Rattus norvegicus: one gene and its partner. The protein of the gene in region 2 interacts with the protein of the main gene of each other region in a pairwise test. Links are inferred from orthologs where the notes say so. Each region holds a gene or a part of one and is shown on either strand. Other genes may lie near its edges.

Evidence for each region.
Region 1: the proteins of Ncoa6 (region 2) and Nr1h2 interact in a two-hybrid assay, tested with the Homo sapiens proteins (2 studies listed by BioGRID). The link is inferred for Rattus norvegicus from reciprocal best matches to the Homo sapiens genes NCOA6 and NR1H2.

The regions. Positions count from the first base shown.
Region 1 is NC_086019.1:104,179,985-104,187,309, forward strand, and holds the start of Nr1h2 (oxysterols receptor LXR-beta), read right to left. Parts: upstream 3,880-7,325; 5' UTR 3,740-3,879; intron 3,641-3,739; 5' UTR 3,509-3,640; intron 2,660-3,508; exon of another isoform or gene 2,657-2,659; 5' UTR 2,639-2,656; coding exon 2,599-2,638; intron 2,523-2,598; coding exon 2,409-2,522; intron 2,246-2,408; exon of another isoform or gene 2,148-2,245; coding exon 1,857-2,147; intron 1,761-1,856; coding exon 1,501-1,760; intron 1,401-1,500; coding exon 1,221-1,400; intron 777-1,220; coding exon 677-776; intron 1-676. UniProt on the Homo sapiens protein: Nuclear receptor that exhibits a ligand-dependent transcriptional activation activity. Binds preferentially to double-stranded oligonucleotide direct repeats having the consensus half-site sequence 5'-AGGTCA-3' and 4-nt spacing (DR-4).
Region 2 is NC_086021.1:164,389,319-164,392,918, forward strand, and holds the start of Ncoa6 (nuclear receptor coactivator 6), read right to left. Parts: upstream 2,458-3,600; coding exon 2,223-2,457; intron 1-2,222. UniProt on the Homo sapiens protein: Nuclear receptor coactivator that directly binds nuclear receptors and stimulates the transcriptional activities in a hormone-dependent fashion. Coactivates expression in an agonist- and AF2-dependent manner.

The DNA.
Region 1 (7,325 bases), on a different chromosome or scaffold from region 2:
GAGAGACGATCGACAAAGACAGAGGAGAATGGAGGCCAGGTCCTGTCCCAGCAGACGGAATACGGGAGCTGACAAGCTGGCATGGCACTTGCGTGCTGTGGGGGACAGATGTGATGGGAGGGTAGTAGCAGAGGGCCCGGGGCCAGGCAGTGAAGGAGCTTGGGTAGGAAGCCGAAGATCCTTTCCAGTCCCACCTTCCAAGGCCTGAATGCCTGGGGCTCCGTGGGGTTCCTTCAAGCCTGGCTGCAGGGCCTTTGCCCAGGCTGGATCACAGGGAAAACACACTTTTTTCCCTAAATCTGCCCTGCTAGTAAGCCACACTGAAAGAATCCTAGGACTCTTCTTGTGTAGTAGAAGAGTGGAAGTGGGTGCCTAAAAATACTGAGAGGCACCCAAGGTGTCCTGGGAAGCCGAAAGCTGAGGGAGAAAAGTTGTTCGCATTGGCTGGCCATGGGCAGGGGCCCTGTCCCACCATCAGACAGGTGGCCAGATGAGCTCCCCATGAGACAATCAGCAGCCTGTGCTTCTTCCTGATCTCCTGCCAGAAGGCCAGGGGACAGCAAAGCCTCCCCATGCATCTGGTCCTGCTAAACATGATCTTTCTCTTGCCAGTGCCTGATCTGGAGGTCCGACAGGGGGCAGAAACCCTAACACTGAGCCAGTGCCTTCCACAGACCTGCACGGTGGAAGTCGTCCTTGCTGTAGGTGAAGTCCTTCAGGAACGTGATGCACTCTGTCTCGTGGTTGTAGCGTCTGGCTGTCTCTAGCAACATGATCTGGAGGTGACAAGGTACAGGGCTCTTCAGCTGCCCCAGGTCAAATGTGCCAAGACCAACTGGCTGCCACCCAGACATTCTTAGCTTTCCTTTCTCCAACTTTACCACCCACTGCCCCCACCCAAGGACATTAACCACACATTATTGTGAGGTACAAGAGTTTTGATTCTTTTAGCACTTAGAACTTTATGCACAGTTGACTCTCAAACTTAAGTTATCCTTGAGTTGGCTCAAATATCCATTCCCTTCAAGTCTCTGGGGCGTATTTCCTCTTTGACAGTCCATCCCATAGTCTCCATTACTCCCACCTCAGCTCACTTCCCTTTCCCCCCGTGGCTGGCTCACTGGAGGCTCCAGATGGCCACACCCCACGAGGGTTAGGATGTCCCTGGACTACATGCAGCTCTGACCTCTGTCCTAGAGCCTAGTTCTCGTTATTAGTACCTCGATGGTGGATGCCTTCAGGAGGGCGATCTGGTCCTCCCGGCCCAGCTGCAGGAACCCTGGCACCTGCTTGGCGAAGTCCACGATCTCCTGGACTGAGATGATGGCTAGCTCAGTGAAGTGGGCAAAGCGTTGCTGACGAGCGTCTCGGGACTGAGGGTCTGCACCCAAGGGCCAGGGCTGGGACACAAAAGGCCAGGGTCACGTGGGAACTCGTGTGCCCCAAGAAACCCTCCCTAGCCTGGGTGGGCTCTGCCCACTGGGCCGGGCGGGGCGATACCGTGACTTTAGGCTGGTCGGAGAAAGATCGCTTGTTGCACTGCAGCTGCGCGGCAACTAACTGTTGGATCATCAGCTCCTGAGCCGCTGTCAGCTGGATGCCCTCTCCTTCCCCGGAGCCCTGGCTACTTGCTTCCGAAGTGCCAGGGGAGGCTGCAGGCCGGGCTGAGCTACCGGATGCTGGCTCAGTCGGGGGCGGTGGCTGCTGCTGTTGCTGCTTCTGAATCTTTTTCTTCCGAATCTGCTCCTCAGAAAGCACGCCTGCAGGAAAGACAGCCTCAGTGGTGGGACCCACCCTCACTTACTCCTCCCCGTGACGAGGACCCACGCTCTGTCTAGCCCCGCCCCTGCACTCACACTGCTCCCGCATGCCAGCCTCCTTGCACTTGCGCAGTCTGCAGAGCTGGCACTTGCGCCGCATGAAGGCATCCATCTGGCAGGTTCCGCTGCCCCGACAGGCATAGCGCCCGGCCCCACCATGGACCACGCTACGCCGGAAGAAGCCTTTGCAGCCTTCACAACTGAGCACATTGTAGTGGAAGCCCGAGGCCTTGTCCCCGCACACGCGGCACAGCTCATGGCCCAGCATCTTCGGGGCCGGACCCTTCTTCCGCTTGCGCTCAGGTTCATCCTCTGGCTCTAAGATGACTTGGGGTGAGCAGATGCCATGAGAGATAGCGACAAAGAGAAACAGCAGCCTGGGAACAGGCCATGGGAAGTCCCGAAGCGAGGGTGAGAGGACAGGGCTGCAACGCCAAGGGAAAGATCTGCAGGTCGGCAGGCTCCCAAGAATGAGTCGGAGGTGTCAGGGGGAAGAGGAAGGAAAAGCGAACCGAAAGACAGGGGCCACCGTCTCCCCACCCTTCCCTCACAACGTCCCACACCCCTGTTCCTGTCTCCCTGTCTCACCCACGATGTAGGCAGAGCTGGACCCTTCAGAGCCTGGAGGTGGATCAGTCTCCTGTCCCTCCTCCTTAATAGTGGGTGAAGTGGAGGAGGTACTGGGCTGGGGAGAACCATTCCCTAGGAGAAGGAAGAGGGAACAGTGAGCTTCTCTTACACTGTGGGAGGGGCCAGGTAGGGAAAACCCATCACTCACCAGGCAAGGGAGTGTCCAGAGAACTTGTGGGGGAAGACATAGTGGGTCACGAAGCAGCCTGCTGGACATAGGGGACCCAGCCAATTACAGAGTGTCTCTCCTTCCAATGCTCAAGGGCTCTCGAAACATGATCCCATGCAGCTCAGGCTAAACGAACTATGTGGCTGAACATCTTGAACCACCTCCAAAACCCTGGAACACACTACCCTACGCTGTCTTGGGATATTCCCCACACTCCTGCCTCAGTCTCTCAAGTGCTGGCATCACAGCACTGTGCCACTATACCTCAGTGTTTTTACTTCTATACTGAGCCCCCACTGCCAGCCCTAGTCCCTTATAAACATCACCCTGAACATCCCCAACCACTTCTGCTCCAACCCACTCACTGCTCCCTCCACCTCTCTATGATTCATGACCTCCCATGACAACTCCCGCCCCTCTAACACTAAGAGAGCCCAACAACTCTAATTCCTCTTCTTTGGTGAGCACCAACTGTGCTCTTACCATATAGGTGATCCTAACTTTGTCCCGCCTCTCCCATCAGGTCGCAACCATTACCCTCCTACCACAGGCTTCTTCAAGGCTTTAACCCACCTCAATACAGACCCCAGACCCTACCCATCCTATCAGGTCCCTGGTCCCGCCCCTTCTCACACTGGGGCAGATACCCAGATTTAGCCCCGCCCCTCCAACTCCCCAAAAGCCAATCATAGGTCTTCGTTGTGCCACGCCCTCCACGCCTCTGCCCACTCCCCCAGTCCCCTCAACAACAATCCAGGCCCCGCCCCAAGAATCAAGAAAGCCTTCAATCACGGGTTTTATCTACAGCATGCCTCCCGCCCATGTGCGTCCCGCCCTCGCCCACCAACATAGGCTTCCCCTACGCCACGCCCCGTGGAGTCACGCCCACCTCGTTCCAGGCCCCGCCCCTCTCCGTGCACCAGGGGGAGGCGGGGCTCATGACTGCACCGGCGATCGTGAGGGGGTCGCAGGAGGGGGTCTCCTACTTCGTTACCCTGGAAATGGCTGTGGGAGGCGGGAGCTGCGACAAAGTAAGGGAAGGAGGCGCGCGTTAAGCTGGACCCGCAAAGATCCGCGTACCGGTCCCAACCCCACCCGCCCTGCCGCCTGGTGCACTTGCCTCTGTGTCCGCACCGGTGATTGCTCCTCCACAGCACTTCAGAAGTAACTTCAGAAGCCTGGGAGTAGCTCGGAGCAACAGCGCTTGCTGAGCGAAAAGCAAAAGTAACTTCGCCACTTCTTCCGGCAACCCCGCTGCGCGTCACTTCCGGAAGTAGGAGGGCCGGGAAAGGTGACAGACTTCCGGTCTGCCTAGGCGCCACCGAATGAGATGCCTTGGCCGGAAGTGGGACACCGGAAGTTTATTTCTTCTGGTAGTTCCCCTCTGGGACTCAGAAAAAAGTTCCGGAAAGTTCTTTTGTTTCTTTAAACACATGACTAACAAAGCAAGTTGTTTCCCTTTTTGATTAGTCTAAAGTTCTCTACGTTTGTAGAAGTGCTGCATGGTTGGTTTTTATTTTGGTTTTGATTTTGAGACAGGATCTCATATTCAAAGGGGTGGCCTTGAACTTCTGAGCCAACTGCTTCCACCTCCCCATTGTTGCAGAAGCACATCCACTTACAGCCCAGTATATTGGTTCTAAATAGGTTAAATCTGGAGATGTCATGATGGTTGCAGGATGATTTTAAGCTTAAAATGGAGGCACGAGGGCTCTTCATACCTTGAACTTCTCCAGCTCAGAGGTTGTGCTGCCCTACCCCAGCTGCCCGCCCTTCCCTCTATAATCCAGTCGTTTTGAATACTGGGTTCTTTTTTCGCCTACCCTTATTTATTCCCCTGGCTCACCTCTCTCCCCTTCTCCTTACATGTCCAGGCTCTGGCGCTCGCTCTCGCGCTCGCTCTCTCTCTCTCTCTCTCTCTCTTTCTCTCTAACATTTTATGTAAGTACTCCCTGTCTTCAGACACATCAAAAAAGGGTGTCGGATTCCGTTACAGATGGTTGTGAGCCATGCTATAGTTGCTGGGAATTGAACTCAGGACCTCTGGAAGAGCAGTCAGTGCTCTTATTCAACCCAACTCTGGACTCTCTTGATGTGCCTGCGTCTGGAACTTTTATATATAAGAAGTTATTTTTTCATTCAGCTTCGTGATAGGAAGAAGTAAATATAAAAAGGCAAATTGGGTGCAATTGCATGCCTGCAATAATCAAACAGACCAAAGCCAGAGGATTGCGTTTAGTTGGAGGCCAAGCTGAGCTAGGTAGTAAGACAGGTCATCAGCTCAATATAAATAAACAAGTAGCCTATGCCCCTCTCCCATAAAAGTGATAATACCAGCTTTTTCACAAAAGATAGAAATACTTGTGTGGACCTCAGATGGAAAAGATTCAGAGATTTGTTTCTCCCCAACTCCGACTTGTCAACAGTTGAGAGAATCTTTATTAAGCGCAAATGCTTGCTTTTACTTAACTTTTGTTGCTGTTGGTCTTGGTTTTGTTGTTGTTGTTTTGTTTTGTTTTGTTTTGCTTGTATATTTTTTTGAAACAGAGTTTCTTTGTGTAGCCTTGGCTGTCCTAGAACTACTTCTGTAGACCAGACTGGCCTCCAACTCATAAGAGAGTTGGCCAAGGCCTCTGCCTCCCATGTGCTAGGATTAAAAGCACTTACTGCCACTACCTGGTTTACACCGCCCCCCACCTTTTTCAAAGACATGGTCTCACCATTCTAGCTATCCTAGAACTCTCTTTGTAGACCAGGTTGGCCTCCAACTCAGAGATCCTCCTGCCTCTGCCTCTTGAGTCCTGGGATTAAAAATGCCATGCCATGGTTAGTTAATCTAACGAATTCTTACAAAGTTGAGGCTAGAGCCCACACTACCTCAGTCACACACAAAATCTATCTACTCCTGAGACCCAGCCACCAACCCATGCTTTTGTTCAGATAAGTGTTAGGTCTCAAAGGAACCCTGGGAATATGGCTGAGGTGCATATTAATATATCAAAGTGAACTCTGGGCACCAGTCTCTCTTAGTATCACCAATGCCTGTTACTATATAGTTACCCTACCCTCAACCTTTCCCGTCCCTGAGCATCACTTCTCTTCCTCCAAGATTCTCTTTCCTATATAATCCAGCTGTTTTGGCTACATGTTCCTTAGCTCTCTTGGTTCTCTTTGTGTCCTGGTTCCCCCTTTCTTCCTCTCTCACCCCTGACCCCATGGCCCAACTTATTCTGTAGGCCCAGGTCAGTCTGGACTCTTGCAGATGCCTCTGGATGTTCTCCTCCTTATACCTACAATAAACCTTCTCAACCATACCTGGGAGCTGTCAAGTCCTCATTGTTCTTCATTCAATAAGTAAGCATATATATACTTATATGTGTGTTTATGTTTACATACGTGTCACTAGTAAACTGTCACGTGCTGTTTGAATTCACTGAGATGCTGGCCCTGGAAGCAGGACATATGACTTAGTGTCCTCTAGGACCCCTTGCCTGAGGTTGGACTGGTTCCCTGGGCCCTCTGAAACAGGGAAAGGATATCACCTCCCCAAAGCAAATGACTCAACCACTTTTATCCCCGTATGTGTGCATGAGTGTAGTGAGAATTCTGGAATTTTGGTTTTTTAAAAACACAGAGATATTACACAAAAATATTTTTTTTGTTTTAATCCCAGGTGTGGGGATATGGGGCTGCTTTGAAACAGGTGACTGATTTGCCTCGTGCCCTAGCAGAGGCATGGTTTTGCCAGCTGCAGATAGTCTCTGCAGATTGTATGATGTTTAGATCTGGGAACTTTTCTGTATATCGATGCTAGGGCCCCCAGAGGTGGATTGTTGGTTGGTTCCTGTTAGTGGCATTTGTTAAGTAGTCCTGCGCAACAAAGACATTAGATATCCTGAGTGCGAAGGTCAAACTTGCCCCAAGGAACTCAACGCCCCAATCAGCAGGAAGTCGACTAGCAATAAGTTTGACCCCTTTCTGACTCCTGACTTAATTCAGGGATCTCTTTCCTTTCCTATCTATCCTTTTTTCCCCACTCATATCTAGTGTTAGGGGGTTGAAGGGTAGAAGAAAGAAGAACCCACAAAGTAGCCAAAGATAGCTACATGTGAGTGTGTATTCCATAAAGACAGCCACACAGGAGTGTGTATTCCATAAAGACAGCCACACACGAGAGTGTATTCCGTCCTCTTCTGGAGCCATTTTTGTCCTTACCACTGTGGGCGAGCAATTGCATGCAGGCTGAAGACTACTTCAGCTCCTGTTGAGAAACCAGCAGGTATAGAGGCTGGAGAATCTGACTTCCCCATACCTACAGTGGCTCCAGGATAAGGGAGACAGGAAAGTTTGCATAGGGTGTTGGCACAGGCCAGGCCAGGCTGTGAGCTGGTCTATCATTATCTAAGATCTGGTTCCGCCAGCTCCTGCTGGGGTCTTTGATACTGGAGTGGCATGCCTTTTATTTTGTAACAGGGTCTTGTTATGCCTCCGACTCTCTCCTGCCTCGGCGTCCTGAGTACTGGGATTACAGATATCCCTCTCCGTGCCAGGCCTTGGGAGGAGTTTTAGTTCTAAGCATGAGATGCTTGTCTGCAGGGCTCGCTGATCCTGGATTCTTTTTTAATGTATATGTATGAATGTATTTGCCTGTATGTATTTTCTGAAAGGATTATTTATTTACGTGCTGAGCGTTTTCTCCCTATTTA
Region 2 (3,600 bases):
ATGTGCCCCCCTTCATAGAATTGTAAGTAAAGGCTGCAGAATAAGGAATACCATAAGCTTTCATAAATTACACTGAGAAGAGAAATCGGCTTAGGACAGATTTGTGATCAAGGAAAACCATTCATTGTAGGTCAGGTCCAAGGATGAAGACAGTGTGCTCTATGGTAAAGCGAGGCCATGGGAAACTGTTGCTTTGAACTTATAATGAGCTTACAGAATGAAACACTGCTCTGAACTTACTATAGACATCCTTCTGTAACTCCCTTTTGTGTAACATTTTTTCTGTGAGGTAATTTTATAAAGAACTTTCGTCTAAGAAGGCATAAAAAGGTGGAAAGAAAAAATAAAGTATGGCTTTTTGCGGTTTTGCCCCATTCACCAAATGTATATACATGTATATATGTATGTATACTTGTACATACGTATGTAGTATATGTGTATGCATGTAAGTATGCACGTGCACTTGTGAAATTGATGAGACAGATGTTTAGGCCCAGCCAAACTGTGTGCGTGTATACGTGTGCATGCCTGACTTTCTTTCTTTCTTCTTCCTTCCCTATGAAATTGCCCAAAGTAATCAGCTTTTGGCTCCCAAAACAGTAAGAGAGAGTTAGAAGGCCAGAGGTCATCAGCCTTTGGCTTTTGGCCGATGCTGTTCAGAACCTGAATGTCAGGGCTGGCCCCAGCAATATAGTATAGCACTTTTATTTCTAAGTATACAGACCAAAGAATTGAAAGCAGGATCTGGAAGAGTATATCCACATTTACAGTAGCATTAGTCATAGTAGCTAAAGCACAGACGTAATCCAACTGCCCAGCAACAGATAACAGTAAGTGAAATGCAGAATATACATACATACATTCTGTGGGATATTTGGCCTGAAACAGGAAGGAAACCCTATCATGTGCTACAGCATGGGCAAACACTGAGAACATTATGTTAAATGAAATAAAGCAGTCATAAAGATACACAATTCTGCTTATATGAGGTAAATAATAGTACTCAAAATAAAGAAAGGGGGCTGGAGAGTTAGAGAAATGGCTGCTCTTCCAGAGGTCTGAGGTTCAATTCTAAGCATACACATGGCAATTCACAAATGGCTGTAGCTCTAGTTCCAGCAGATACGATGCCCTCTTCTGGCCTCTATGGGCACTGCATGCATGTAGTGCATTTACATGCATGTAGGCAAAATACCATATACATAAATAAATCTAATACTTTAAATTAAAAAACAATCATAAAAAGTACAATGGTGCTTATTAAGGGCTTGAGTAGGTAGGGAATGGGAAGTTTATAAGAGTTATAAAAATGCTACTAGTAATTGTTGCATATTTTAATTGTATTTCAGTGTCATTGAGCCATATATAAAAATTGTGAATATGGCAAACTATTATATGTATTTTACAATTAAAGATTTACAAAGTAAACTGAGGTAGTACTGTTTATAAATACATTTTACAGACAAGAAAGGAAATAAAAGATATCCGGCAACTCCAGACAAAGGCTGGCCTGTGTTTCCCAAATACTGGGATTAAAGGCGCATGCCACTGCTCAAATTACATCTTTCAATATTAATAAATTGGCTTTATGGAAAATGCTTTCTCAAAATCCAGTTATCTATAGACAGTGTTTCTATATGCCACTTAAGCCCATTCCAGCTCTTACACGATTAGATACTAAATATGAACAAAGAATTTACTTGTTCTAATGTAAAACAACAAAACAGAGCACTTGCTAAGGCAGTGGGATTAATATACTCACAAACTCTAAAAGTGCTTAGGCTATGTTTAGTTAAAGTGCTCTTAAAGAAGGAAACTGTGGCCCAGAGAAAGGCTAAATGAGCTGTGTGGGAAGCTATAGGTACCTAGCGAAATCAGAGAAGGTAAAAACAAGCTCCAAGAGTTAGGCCTACTGCTGTTCCATGACATTTGGACACGCCGAAAAACTTTGGCTCTTGGTTCCACAGGGCAGAGACACCAAAGTTTCTTCCAATCTGATCATTACTGAAAGCTATCTGTGCTCTGCACACATCAGGTGTCTTCATACTAGTTTAAATGTTAATATAGTTAAAAACTGTTTAATTACAATACAGTTACACTTTACTAGAAACTTTTCAAACCAGGCATGGTGGCCTAACCCTGTAATCCCAGCATCATGGCTGTAGGCAGGAAACTGTCAAAGCACACAGCAACAAGAAGGAGGCAAAAGCTAACGCAATTACCCATGTGTAACAAGCCGGGCACACTCTGTAAGATTGTATCCAGTTTCCATTTGAAGTCTTTATCATCTATATTTCCTTTGAAGGCTACAAAAATTGTAGAATCCTCCAAAATACTATCACTTTTTGTGTCATCATCTTCTAGTCCAGAGTCAAACTCCACCTCTGAGTCTCCCATTGTTGATGAACACAAGGAAGTATAGATGTCTTCAAAGTTTGGAAGGTCATCCAAAACCATGGTGTATTAGTCCAGAAGTATATGCAAAGTGAACAGTAAGAAAACCTTCAAAAAAAAAAAAAAGAGGAGAGGATGCAGAGTATTATAACATCATTACATATTCAACATATCATTTTAGTAAATATCTAAACATCTATACTTCTACAAAAGATGCAATTTATTTACTAAATAAAATTTTCTTTCGTAATGCCATTTGCTACATTTTTGGTAAGACTAGAATATTGGGAGGAATATACAAAGTGTCACAGGAGAATGAACGGACCTGAGTGTTCGCAGCACACACCTAAAGTCTCAGCAGGGACATCACAAGTTGAGCACACCTGGGCTGCAGAGTTCAGTTCTGGTCTCAAACAACAGCACCCAGAAAATCCTTTATAAAATAATTATACTTCCTCTCCAGCTGCATTTTAAAAATTCTAATAACATTAAAAGTAAACAAATAATATAAAGATTTTTTTAAGGCTAAAAAAGCTGCTGCTTAGCGGGAGAAAGACCAAGTCTTGAGAAGGCCTACAAACTGTGGGTATTTAGCAACCAATTCAAAGTAGGAACAGAAAGAAAAATAACCTAATGATATATGCCAGGGTCTTGGTAAAACAAGAATAAGCCAAACCAAACTCAGTAGCTGGAAAGCCATAACAGACTGATGAGATGGTTAAGCAGTGAATGCAATTTCTAAGCCTGGGCACCTGAGACTGTCTCAAAAAACATAGGAGGACTGGTGAGATGGCTTAGCAGGCAACTGCGACTGCTACCAAGCTTGATGCTAAGTTTGCTCTCTGAGATCCATATTGTGGAAGGAGAGAATTAAACTGCAAGTTGTTGTCTAACTTAAAACACACACTAAGCCCATTCACACAAACAATAAGTAAATACATGTTTAGACATTTTTTTTAAAAAAAGGAAAGACAAAATAAATGTTAGGTGTTAATAAAATAGATTAAAACAAAAATATAAAAGATTAATGAAACGAAGAGTCCTTTGATAACCAAATTAACCAAAATAAATAGACACAAATTAAGAAAATTAGGTGGCTAAAGGTACAGCTCAGTTGATATAGAGCTTGCCTAACATGCACAGAGCCCGGAGTTGATCCCCAGCACTGCATAAAGCAGGCACAGTGATACAAACCTGTAATTCCAG